Linked DNA regions of Schizosaccharomyces pombe. The gene in region 2 interacts genetically with the main gene of each other region. Each region holds a gene or a part of one and is shown on either strand. Other genes may lie near its edges.

What was found. A genetic interaction does not mean that the proteins touch.
Region 1: mutations in cuf2 (region 2) and dis32 together harm fitness less than expected from each alone (positive genetic interaction), as found in Schizosaccharomyces pombe (one large-scale study listed by BioGRID).
Region 3: mutations in cuf2 (region 2) and xlf1 together harm fitness more than expected from each alone (negative genetic interaction), as found in Schizosaccharomyces pombe (one large-scale study listed by BioGRID).

What each region holds. Positions count from the first base shown.
Region 1 is NC_003424.3:4,270,381-4,276,082, reverse strand, and holds dis32 (3'-5'-exoribonuclease Dis32), read left to right. Parts: upstream 1-1,953; 5' UTR 1,954-2,002; coding exon 2,003-4,786; 3' UTR 4,787-5,191; downstream 5,192-5,702. Other genes in the region: SPOM_SPAC2C4.09 (uncharacterized protein), read right to left, coding at 1-59; SPOM_SPAC2C4.08 (uncharacterized protein), read right to left, coding at 181-912; rcm1 (rRNA methyltransferase), read left to right, coding at 5,212-5,347, 5,409-5,467, 5,529-5,702. UniProt on the Schizosaccharomyces pombe protein: 3'-5'-exoribonuclease that specifically recognizes RNAs polyuridylated at their 3' end and mediates their degradation.
Region 2 is NC_003421.2:1,530,174-1,533,254, forward strand, and holds cuf2 (Cu metalloregulatory transcription factor Cuf2), read left to right. Parts: upstream 1-1,952; coding exon 1,953-1,984; exon of another isoform or gene 1,985-2,034; coding exon 2,035-2,127; exon of another isoform or gene 2,128-2,171; coding exon 2,172-2,580; downstream 2,581-3,081. Other genes in the region: SPOM_SPCC584.03C (GTPase regulator), read right to left, coding at 2,849-3,081.
Region 3 is NC_003421.2:923,701-927,099, reverse strand, and holds xlf1 (XRCC4-like factor xlf1), read left to right. Parts: upstream 1-2,008; 5' UTR 2,009-2,163; coding exon 2,164-2,319; intron 2,320-2,432; coding exon 2,433-2,888; downstream 2,889-3,399.

The DNA.
Region 1 (5,702 bases), on a different chromosome or scaffold from region 2:
GCTCGAAATAAAGGTTGGAACTGATGGTATATACTATTGCAAGGAATCTTTAGATACATTGGATCTTTCAACCTGTCCTTGAGTGGGTAGTAGGTGGGAGCAGAAATTAACGCGCAAAAGCAATAAGTAAAAAGAAAGTTATATCAAGTTTTGATCAAGGCAAGTATAAAAAAGAATGAATTAAAAATTAGACAACGTGAATTTGTTAGTCATTTCTCGAAGGGCTTCTGAGGTATACCTCGCATCGTTGCCGGCATTGTGAAGACAAAAAGCTCGGATGTTCAAGTGAGTGAGCATTTTAGCAAGAGAGATGTTGTTGGAATTTGAAATTTCTTTGAGGAATAAACTTTGAAAGAATGAGAAAACGTTCTGCGTATCAAGAACCGTGACATCCTTTGGAATAGGTATTCCAAGGACGTTTGCATACTTTATTTCGTTTTCCACTCCGTGTCCTACTAGATGTAGATTTGGTGTTTTCAAAATTTTTTTCAGAATACTTATAAACGCAATTTTTGTCACAATCTTGGAGTCACCAAATTGAAAGTTATCGGCTTCATCTGGAACAAATCGACCGTTGCGTAGATGTAGAAAATTCTTAATCCTGTAGTGGTGGTAGTCCCATTCTCCATTAATTCTCATCGTAATCCCAGCCTCAGTTATGATTTTCTGGTTGAATTCATATGCCTCAAAATCAATTACCAAAAAGTTACAACTTGGGTTGGAAACGGCTTGAAATGCTACAAGAGCTTCACCTTTGGCTCTAATTAATTTCTTTTCAGCTCTTTGAATTGCTGCACGTCGCTTCCGCTCTTTCCTTTCTGCTTTAACTTCTTCTGGCGTCAACTTGTAACGAATCCGTTTTTGCTCATGCCGAGAAACATTTACAGCTTTTTTTGCTTGCAATCTGTTCATCTCAGAGATAGATCTTAAAATAAACGGAAAGGGGAATTCGTATGAAAGCAAGTACTAGTGATAACTTAGAAGAGGTAAACAAGTAGCTTCTAACTTCTCTAGCAATGGCATGTGTAATTTCAAAGTATATACTAGCAAATAATCCCAAATCCTTATGTTGCAAAAAATAATTATCGTTAATTTACTATGATTACTTTTTCAATTTATAAATGGATTTTGTTTTGTTAAATATCAATTATTCTTTGTTTACAATCAGAAAGTGTGTTTAAAATATATATTCCACTGTCAAATATCTTCGTTCAGTCATTTCCATCTATTCAAAAATTACAAATATAAGACATATTTCAAATTACCTGAAAAAGGCTTCAATTTTTAAAGCTACGTGATTTTTTACATCAAAAAATATTATTGAATTTAACAGGTGACTCTATCACGGATTTCACTTTGTTAAACAGCTTTTAGGAGGTTAGCATTTGTTAAAAAAAATTTTATTTTATTTTATTTTTTTTTTATTTCTTATTAATTGACTGAAGAAATACTCCGTCTCTTAATTTGATTATGAAATTTTTTTTTATTTTTGGGTATGGTTTCTTTTTTTTCTTTAATTGCAATTACAAAAGTAATTAAAATTATGTTAGTCTTTATGACTTCTCAATTGCCATCCTTTAATAAATAGATTAGTATCAACTTTTGAACGAATCTAATATTACAATTGCAAGTTTAGATCGATTTACTAAGCTCTTTCAGTACGATACAAAAAAACAAAAAAGGAAGCAAGAAGTATACTAAAAACCATACACTTGCAGATATTTGGTTGAGGAAGATAGAAAGCTATGTTTTTTGGATGTATAGTTTATACGCCCTTTATCAATTTTGAAACTGTAGCTTAGTATAGAATGAAGTAGTGTAGATATTTGAGCGAACGTCAAGACTATCAATTTTATTGATTTCCATGAATGGTTTAGAATTTTGCATTTAGTATAAATTATTTCATTTATTTTGTTGCCCCTAATATATCTCCTAGTTGCGCTCAGTGAATTTAACAATTGCATGCCTTAACTCTACTACCACCTCCATATTTTCACAAAGTATGGATTTAAAACCAAATATTAGAAGAAAGGAAAAGCGAAATTTATTAAAGGGAGAAGCTGCTTTAGAAAAAAAAGGCTCTATTGATAGAAAGACAAAAAATAAAGCATATCCGTCTACTACTCACGATCCTCATCAAAATGATGATTCCAACATTCCTGGATTAGGAAGTGGACTATTGGAAAGGATCAAAGATATTGTTCAAAGGCCAACAGATACCCAATTAAAAGGTCAAGATTCGAACCATAAGAAAGCCAGCTTGACTGAAACGAAGACCGAGAAAGCCAAGGTTAAACCGAAGGCAAAGAAGAAAAACTCGAAGGAAAAAATCTCTAAAAGTTCTAAGCAGGATGAACATAAAACCGACGTGCATAAAGAAAGTGTCTCGAAACTTTCCAAGAATTTGGAGTCCAGAAATAATCGAGATGAAAATTCCGCGAAACGAGAAAAAAACAATTCTCATCAAGTTGAAGCAGATACGAATAACGCCACTGAGATGGTATCATCCAATGCGAAAAAGTCAGTATACCCGTTGTACTACGACTCTGCAACGGTTAAAAAAGGATTAAAAAGTGGTACATTATTTAAAGGAACGCTTCGTATTCTTGAAAATCATCGTAGCGCTTTTGCTTGTATGGAAGATATACCTGATTTTTATGTTGATGGGCCAATTGCTAGAAATCGTGCTTTTCACAACGACGTTGTAATTGTGGAACCTGTGATGAATAATGACAGCCCCACTGAAAAATCGAATTTTTTACAGAATGGTGTCGAGAAAGTCAAAATAAAAGATCATGACGATGAGTTAGGTGGAGCAATGGAGCATTTGGAAAGATTAGAAATTAAAAGTGTTGCAAGCTTCAAAGGTGATAGCAGAACGAGAGCTCGTGTTGTCGCCATTGAGAAGAGAGCGGAAATTTCTAAAATTGTAGGGATTTTAAGAGCACCAGGTTGGTCATTAAAAAATGTAGAATATGTTTCCAAAAAATCCTCGTACGCGATTTTCATTCCAAAAGATAAACGTCTGCCCTTTATCACAATTCACAAAAATGATTTAAGCGATTTAAGTGGTGAAAATTGGATTGAAAATATTTTGAAACACCACGATCAGTTGTTTTCAGTTGAGATTACAAGGTGGAGTATTTACTCTCGTTACCCTATGGGTGTATTAGGTGAAAAGCTGGGAAATATTACTGACGTGGAGGCTTACACTAATGCGCTTTTGCTAGAAAATGGAATTAGTAGCTCTCCCTTCTCTGATGAGGTTTTAAACTGCTTGCCTCCTGATGATTGGATTATCTCACATGAGGAAATAAAAAAACGAAGAGATTTAAGAAATGAGTTAATTATTACCATTGATCCTGAAACAGCTCGTGACTTGGATGATGCTGTTTCCTGTCGCGCTCTTGACAATGGCACTTATGAAGTGGGTGTCCACATCGCTGATGTTACTCATTTTGTAAAACCAGATTCAGCATTGGACAAAGAGGCAGCTTCGCGGGCTACAACAGTATACCTTGTGCAAAAGGCTATTCCGATGCTTCCTCCTCTGTTGTGTGAACGACTTTGTTCATTAAATCCCAACGTTGAGCGTCTTGCATTTAGCGTTTTTTGGAAACTCGACTCCAATGGTAAGGAAATTGGTAAGCGTTGGTTTGGCAAAACAGTTATAAAGACATGTGCCAGACTTGCCTACAGTGAGGCTCAAGGTGTGATCGAAGGAAAGTCCTGGGATGATGCTGTAGGCAAACCGATAGGAGGTACGCATACTCCAAAAGATGTTGAAACGTCTATATTAACACTTTGCGAAATTTCGAGAAAGCTTCGCAAAGATCGATTTGCTAAGGGCGCTGTAGAGATTAACTCGACAGAACTCAAATTCCAATTAGATGAATATGGAATGCCGAATAAATGCGAGGTATATGAGCAAACCGATGCAAATCATCTCATCGAAGAGTTTATGCTTCTCGCCAATAGATCTGTTGCTGAACATATCAGTAAAAATTTCTCCAATAATTCCTTGCTTCGTCGCCATGCAAGTCCTAAAGAGAAACAAATTAATGAGTTTTGTCACTTTCTAAAAAGCATGAACTTCGATTTCGATGCATCGTCTTCAGCTGCATTTAATGCCTCTATGGTACGACTCAGAAGCACTTTTAATGAAGAATTGGTAGAATTATTTGAAAATATGGCAGTTCGCTCGTTAAATCGTGCTGAATACTTTTGTACTGGCGATTTCGGTGAGAAAACAGACTGGCACCATTACGCTCTTTCATTTAATCATTATACCCATTTTACTTCTCCGATTAGAAGATACCCTGACATTATTGTTCATCGTTTATTGGAACGTAGCCTTAAGAACACATCCCCGGGTATTGACAAAAAAAATTGTTCGTTAGTGGCTGCACATTGTAATGAAAAGAAGGAGAAATCCACCACTGTGCAAGAAGATAGCCAGCAACTCTTTTTGTCTGTATATATTGCTGAGTATTGCAAAAAGCATGATAAGAAATCTATGCCAGTTCAAGCATTTGCGACTAGAATATCTGGAAATTCTATTGATGTCTATATCTCTGAATATGGAATATCCAACAGAGTAGACCTCAGTTCAGATGATAGAATTAAAAGTTTTATAGTTGCTCCCGATGACTCCTCTGTTAAAATTACGTTGTTTGATGATTCTCAAAAGACTATAGCTCTTACGGATCGTTTCCAAGTTTATTTATATTCTGATTACAGTCGTACATTTTTCAGTATTCGCTGTAGTCTAGTTTCTTTGAATTAAAGGCCTAGTGTTGTTTATGAATTTTTGACTGAAATATAACTTTGTTAATTTTGGGTCAGATTACCTTTTATTTATGATGCATGCCACCTATTGAATGGTTGTTCACGTTTATCCTACACATTTTAAAACGCTTATTATTATTACTATTATGTTTCATGGATTATGACAATTGAATGACTTTGTTATGCCCAGACGACTTATGTTTGATATATTTTTCTCATTCGTGAGAGAAACACAATTAAAATAAAAAATTTAACATCAATAAGAAATTTCTTTAGTTAACAAATTCACTTTGGCTGCAATTGTTGAATATTTTATTTATACCTATACATACAAGTAACAATAGACATTGTGACCTGAGTAAGGTACTCAGTTTTGTGCAGCAGCTTTTCCACTACTCATACCGAGGAGGATCTTGCCTCGATATGGATTTTTATAATCATGCTGCCAACATACTTTCAGATTTAAGTAAAAAAAAAGGATCAATTAAGCAATTAGCATTTAATTCAAAAAAACATGATCCAAAACGCACTTATGCTTTGGTTTGCGAAACTCTCAAATGTAAACAAGAATAGTAAAACTTTAATATAAACGATTTGACTAACTTTCTTCTTTTATATAGATAAACCTGTTTTGGATGAAATAATTGCGCGATCCGAGTTATTAGTTTTAGAGAAAAAGGTACAAATTAATGAAACGATAGTTGTTTCGTAATTTTTTGAAGCTAACCTGGTTATTGTAGTTAAAAGAAAATTTGGCTAGAGTCCTTGTCCATGATTTACTGATGTCAAAGCGAGGGTTATCCATTTCAAATGGTCCTATCAAGGAATGCATTCTTCGTCACAAGACACGCCTGAACGCCGAGTTTGTCAAACTCAAGGTGAAAAAAGGGGTTAAGAGCCATGAGGAGCTGGCA
Region 2 (3,081 bases):
TAATACACTACGTTGCGTATCACTATATGTCACATGTTCTAATTATATATAGTACCATGTATGATACGATATTGAGATTGATCTTAATGATAATCTATCAAGATCTATATTATCTGAATAATATAAATAGAGCTACTGCTGAACCTCGTTCCTCAGTTCAGTTATAAGCTATATTAGTGATAGGTAACATTATAACTCAGTTAATACAATACCTATACTCAGTTGCTACTTATACAACCTGTGTATTGTAATATAATAGATCACAAGGAAAACTCACCGCAGTTCTACGTATCCTTAAATCAGATACCAAACTGCGTAGCTTACATTTGAAGGGATTTAACAACATAATGGAATGTAGTTGACAGATGTGACGTTGTATATCTTTGAACAGGTATACAGAGATTTACGGATACCCAGACGATAAATAACGACCGTTGGGGTTAGCAGTTTTATTCTCATCAAATTAAGAAAATGTGTGTGCAAGGTAGTTATTGTTTTTATAAGGTTTTCTAAATTTCAATACTTTTAGTAGTCTCATCTTGTAGCAATCTGATCAGAAAGACATTATCATCTTTCGCATTCTGAAAAACATGAAATAGAATGTCAAGTGAATTTGAGTAAAGAACCGCACGTATTGATGTGTTCGATTTCAGCAACGTACTTGATTTTAGAAGCTCCATTATATGATTTTAGTTTAGCTAGTTAGTTTTATCTCCAGAAAATTGACAGGTATTCAATATTTACTGATTTATTCATAGTGCGCTAAATGCATCTAAGTACTGTGCTGTAATTATGTTCATTATACCCAGTATATCAGCATCTAGCAGCAAATATACATTTATGTAAATACATTTACATTTCAAATAGTAGCATCTCCAAATCGTCACAAATTGTAGAATTTACATATCTTTTTTTAAAATACTGAACGTTCCTTAATTTGATGAAATCACTTCGTCTACATTTCTATTATGTGACAATATTTGTAGGTAGCAAATATTCAAATTGATTAAAAGATTTTTTGAAATCGAAAAAAATTGTGAGTTTAATCATACCTTTCTGAAAGAAATATTTCAATTTTTTTTAAAAAAATTTGAAGGGTCTGACAAGCCTACCTCATTTTACATTTACTTTCATTTAATTATTTTTTTAAACCTGACATTAAAACAAAGTAACTCGATATAACCCTGAAAAATAATAATCAATTAAAATAAATGAGCAATCAATAAAAAAGTTATTATGTCTTTAGGTTGCAAACTTTTAAGCTGTTTTGTAATCTGAAAATCATATATGTTATAATATAAAGTAGTATATTAACAAAATCCAGTCTTTATAGCATCTGGTACCTTTTGCAAACAAAAGTTATTTAACAAGTTTAGAGTGCAGAAAATCGCAAAACTGCTTAGAGAATTGACGCAATCATAAAAACATAGAATGAAATCGCCTCGAGGAAAAATCACAATTTGATCAGTTTGCACACTCATTAAATCAAAATTATCTTTTCTACGAAATTGTGCTCAAAAACATTGAACATAGTGATTTAATACCTTCCTATTTTGTATGTTATTGTTGGTTAGTGTCAATAAGTTGATGTATTTGTTTATCCCATAATATGTAAACAAATGTCCATAGCTAGAGCTTATAAATAATTTATGCCAGCACTCAAACTTTTGACAAACAACAAACATTGGAAATATTTAAAAGTAAAGTATATTATTTTAAAACACTTAGCTGTTCGTCTTGTCTTCTATTAATATCCGTTGTGCAATTCTTCTGGATCAGAAAGCTAAAGCAGAGACGAGGAAAAAGGAATTTGGGAAAAAGCTGTCATTTACAATTTATCAACCTAAAGGAAGAGAACGTATAAGAGGAATTTATTTAAAACGTTCCTCGACTAGCTTATTTACTCGAATCCTACTTGTCTTCTTTTCCCTTAATCACAAATACCTTCAATCATGATCATTATTGACGGTAAGAATTATGCTTGGTAAGACTTTTTGTATGGTTATAAGATAAAATTTTTAACACTTACTCTAGTGTTGTATGCCTTCGAGGTCATCGAGGCTCATCCTGCCAGCATCAAGAAAGGGCACTGATAGAAGTTCGAACTAGAGGAAGGCCGTTACTATGGTATGTCACATTGATCAGAAAAAAAATATTAACTTGAAATTCAGCAAAAAATGCAGAGCCATAAAACAACAACTTAAGAGTAATTTAAAATGCGTTTGTCATTTGCAGCCTTTTCTACCCTTCGCCAATGAGTATCAGGAGTTATTAAATTTCACTCAGAAAAACCCAATATTGGCTAGCCTTTTTTTGTTTTCAACCGACAAAGATATTATGAATTCTTCTTTAAATCCTGCAAGTCAAGCCTACACCTTCGATTTAGGAAGAACACTACCCATCAGTGAAGATATATTAGGATATAGGAAACCTCTTTCACTAACAGATGCTTCTAATCGCATTGATGCAAGTCAATTGAATGAAAAAGAAAACGATTCTTTTACCATAAACCAAGAGGCCGATATTTTCAATTTCGCAAAGTACTTACATTCCAAAGACGATATATCCGGAATCCCTTGAATTCACAACTTTCGTTATTATTCCAAATAGCGACAAATGAAGGTTATTGTCATATCATATGTATAAGTACTCTCACATAAAGTATTCAATCATAAAAAGATGAAGTAATTTGAATGTTTTGGTCGTCTAAAAAGGTGCATATAACATTAGAGAAATCTATGTATTCAAATTTACTGGGGATCAAACACCATTTCAAGGATTTCCCATGGGAAGTGAAATTTAGAATAGTTGTGTATTGAATAGCGTCAATATTACTCTGATAAAGTTTTCACGGGTTTTTCTTTTCTTTTTCCACATTTAATTTAGCCTGGCAGTTGATAACTTTCGACGATGATTCAGGCTCGGAATGAGGAATAACAGAAGGGTTTTCTTTTAATTTAATCACAGAATCCTTTGAAATGAGGTCCTCCTGAGGAAGTAAATTGGACTTCCGGACAGAAGGGCTAGCCATCAATAAAGCTGAATCCTCTTCATCAACATTTTTCGTTTGACGTGTTGAAA
Region 3 (3,399 bases), 610 kb from region 2:
AAGGACTCCTTAGTAAACGATCCATCGGTTAATTGTTCTGTCTTTAAGAAATAGTCATTCTCCCAATCCTCGAATACTTTATTTGTGATCATTTCTTCTTTTTGTTTGTTAATTTCTCTAAACAAAACACTTGTAAAATAAATTGTTCGTTAATATCTTGTTCTGTTTATTTCATTGTATAAAAATAATTAACAAAATCAATGAATCAAACCTTGTTATAACAATATAACAATAATGAATGATATTACTGTTTCTTGTGCATTTGTTTCAGAAGTCAAAGTTTTAGATCCAGCTAGAGGGAATAGTCTATTGAGCTTATGCATTCAAATTTGTTATTTATCAGAATTTAAATTAGAAAAACACTTAAAGCGTTGTGCAGTTTGTGTGTAAAATTCGTGTGTTCAAAAATTTTTTCTTCGCTCTTTTTACTATAAATAGAGGGCATGAACCCTTTAGAATAATTTGAAAGTTGCACCCATCGAATTTGATTCAGTCTGAGTCTCTTTTATAAGTTACATTGATTGCCGAATTGAATACGATGGGGAGAAAAAAACTCCTTTCTTAAAGTGTATTTCAGATTCTTTTTTCCTTTGAAATGCCCCGTGGAAAGGAAAAATATCTATTTTTCTTTAAAAATTAATTAATCAACTTTGTTAAAAATGATCCACTCAGAGAAGTAGAACTTTGTTGTAGCCTGAGAAGCCGTGAACTTCTGCTGTAGTTTTCATGATTCGTAATTGCAAATCATCTCGATAAGTGCTTTCAAACTTGTTATGTATATGTACATCTTCCTAATTGTTAACTGCAGAAGCCAAGCAAATAGTAAATAAAAAAGAAGGAGCCTACAGCACCCCGGATTCCCATGTTGTCTCCAACCATAGTACTAACGAGGCCCTCAGACGCTTAACTGCAGTGATCGGACGGGAACTGGTGTTTTCGCCTAGGTATGGCCGTAGACACACAGTTAGTAATTTAGTAATATATAATGTAAATCAGGAGTAGTTAATGTAGTCGATGAAATTCATTTGTGGAATGTAAATCCCGCTCAGTATATACTGACTATGTCCTCTAAGTTCATACATCCTTTTTGCACTCGAATTTATAAATAATAACGGTTGTGTATTTTCAAATTGAATTATTCAAAAAAACCCAAAAAAATTATTTAACAAAAAGGTCGATCCCGCCAGGAGTCGAACCTGGAATCTCTTGATCCGTAGTCAAGCGCCTTAACCATTGGGCCACGAGACCTTTTTGTTGAACACCTCTGATTTTAGTTTAAATTATAAGAAGAAATGACATTGCTTCAAAAAAACTAAGAGCTCTGATTTTCATCTCTTTCTAACAAACAATGCGAAATCCTTTTGGAAGTAGTATGTACATTCATTGTATGTGGTTCCCTGCCTCTTACCTTCAGACGTTTCGTAGTCGTTAATGAGTTAGGCATAATTAATTTGCGTTTTTATATCACATACTTCTTCATTTACCATTGACGTTACAATGAAGTAGCAATAGCAAACATATATATACTTTTAGTTAGAAAAAATATATATATATAAACACAGTAGCACGCTTGTGCAGAATATAAGAGCTACATGTAAACACGGATGATGATTGTAGGTCAATCTTCGGAACAAGAGGGCCTTGAAGTTATCCAGAATGGATATCTCTTCTCAAATTAGAAACAATACTTCTTCTGAACATACCGCTGAAATGTCCCCTAGTCCACGAAATTCTGTGAGCAGAAGAAAAAACCGAACGGAGTCATTCTTATCTACTTAATAATTTTTTCGTTTTCAAATTAAGCTTCAAAAAAAAATAGCTCTCAAATTACTTGGTAGTTCCTTTCTGTCCTTGTTTGTGTTGTCTTTCGCTGGCTACTTTCAAACCACTAGACAATATTTTACAAAAGCATTCCAATTGATCTAATTTTCACATTCTAAAGTTTAAAGAATAACTTGGCATAGTTATTGTTTACTCTGGCATATATCGGTTGTTTAATTTTCTCATCAATACCAATACTACTTTGCAAACTCGAATTCTCAACTGTGACCATTGCTGAGCTTATTTCTTCTATTTTAGTGATTTAGCTTTAATATTTTCAATTGAATTGCTGTTATAATCAATTTGAGATACTGAACAAGACATTGCATTTGTTTATACTTGATGTCTTGGGTGCAGCTACGTGGCCACAGGTTTCATTTTATACAGGCTAGCTTCGACGCAGAAAGTAATGAGGCTGTACAAGTCATTCATATTACAGACCTAGTGCGTGTTTGGTCCTGTACATGTAGCCGCAATCAAATCGTCAATCAGGCAGAGGTAAGATTAGTTAACAACTACATTGCTACTATGCTTTCAGGGGAAAAGCAGTTATAAATGCAACCAAATTAACACCTTTCTCTCAACCAAGAGTTATATTAACTTTTAAACAGAGCGAAAGATGTCCTATCGATCCATTTCAAACGTTTGAAACGTTAGTCGATGTACTGGCTGAAGTGCTGGTGAATGTTTCTTCTGAAAGTAGAATTCAACTACGAGGCTCAAATGACGAGGGATCTTTAAAAATTTTCTGTACCTCAAAAATAGCTAAAGATATTTTCTTAGAATGGAATTGGACCCTTTGGCTTACTCCACCAGAGACGATTGCCAAGATGGTATGGTTTCCTCTTATCAATCATCACTTATTCGAGTCAGAAACCGACACTAGTCCAGGATCGTTAATGTCCATTATTCGTGATCAAAAGTCTTTATTGAATGACAAGACTTGGTTCAAGGAAGCATTAAATGAAAGATCCTCGTCTTCCAATCCTTCCACACCAAGAAAACGTTCAGCATTTGCAGATATTATTTCTCCAAAACGACCTCGTACTCGTTATGATTTTGTTTAAAAAAATCTAATGGTATATTGAACTATGAAGATATCTATTTAACTCGATCACATGTTTAACTACAGCGTTTTGTACAATTTACCTCAGGATGAAGAGACTATGAAAACGTATATACTAATCAGAAAGAGATGTCCGTTCTCTATTGGAGACACATAGAGGGTTTTCCATAGACTTTAAAAAAGTTTACAGAATTGGCCTCTATATGTACTATGACTTACGGTTTATTCTAGCAACACATTGTAACCCTACGGGAATGGAACTTCCGTAAAACACGGTACATTCTAACCCTTCTTCTTTGGATAAGAAGATGTAAAGTTATTAGAAGGTTGCAATAATATAAAATAAAGTTTCAAAGAGTTTTATGTAGCTTAACTCATCTCATATGATTATATTTGACAATATTATAGTTTTTCTTGTAAGGTCCATAAGATAGAACATTCATTTCATCCTTATAACAAATCAAAAATAAGTCCCAAGTTACGACACATCCCAAGGTTAGTTATTTACCCAA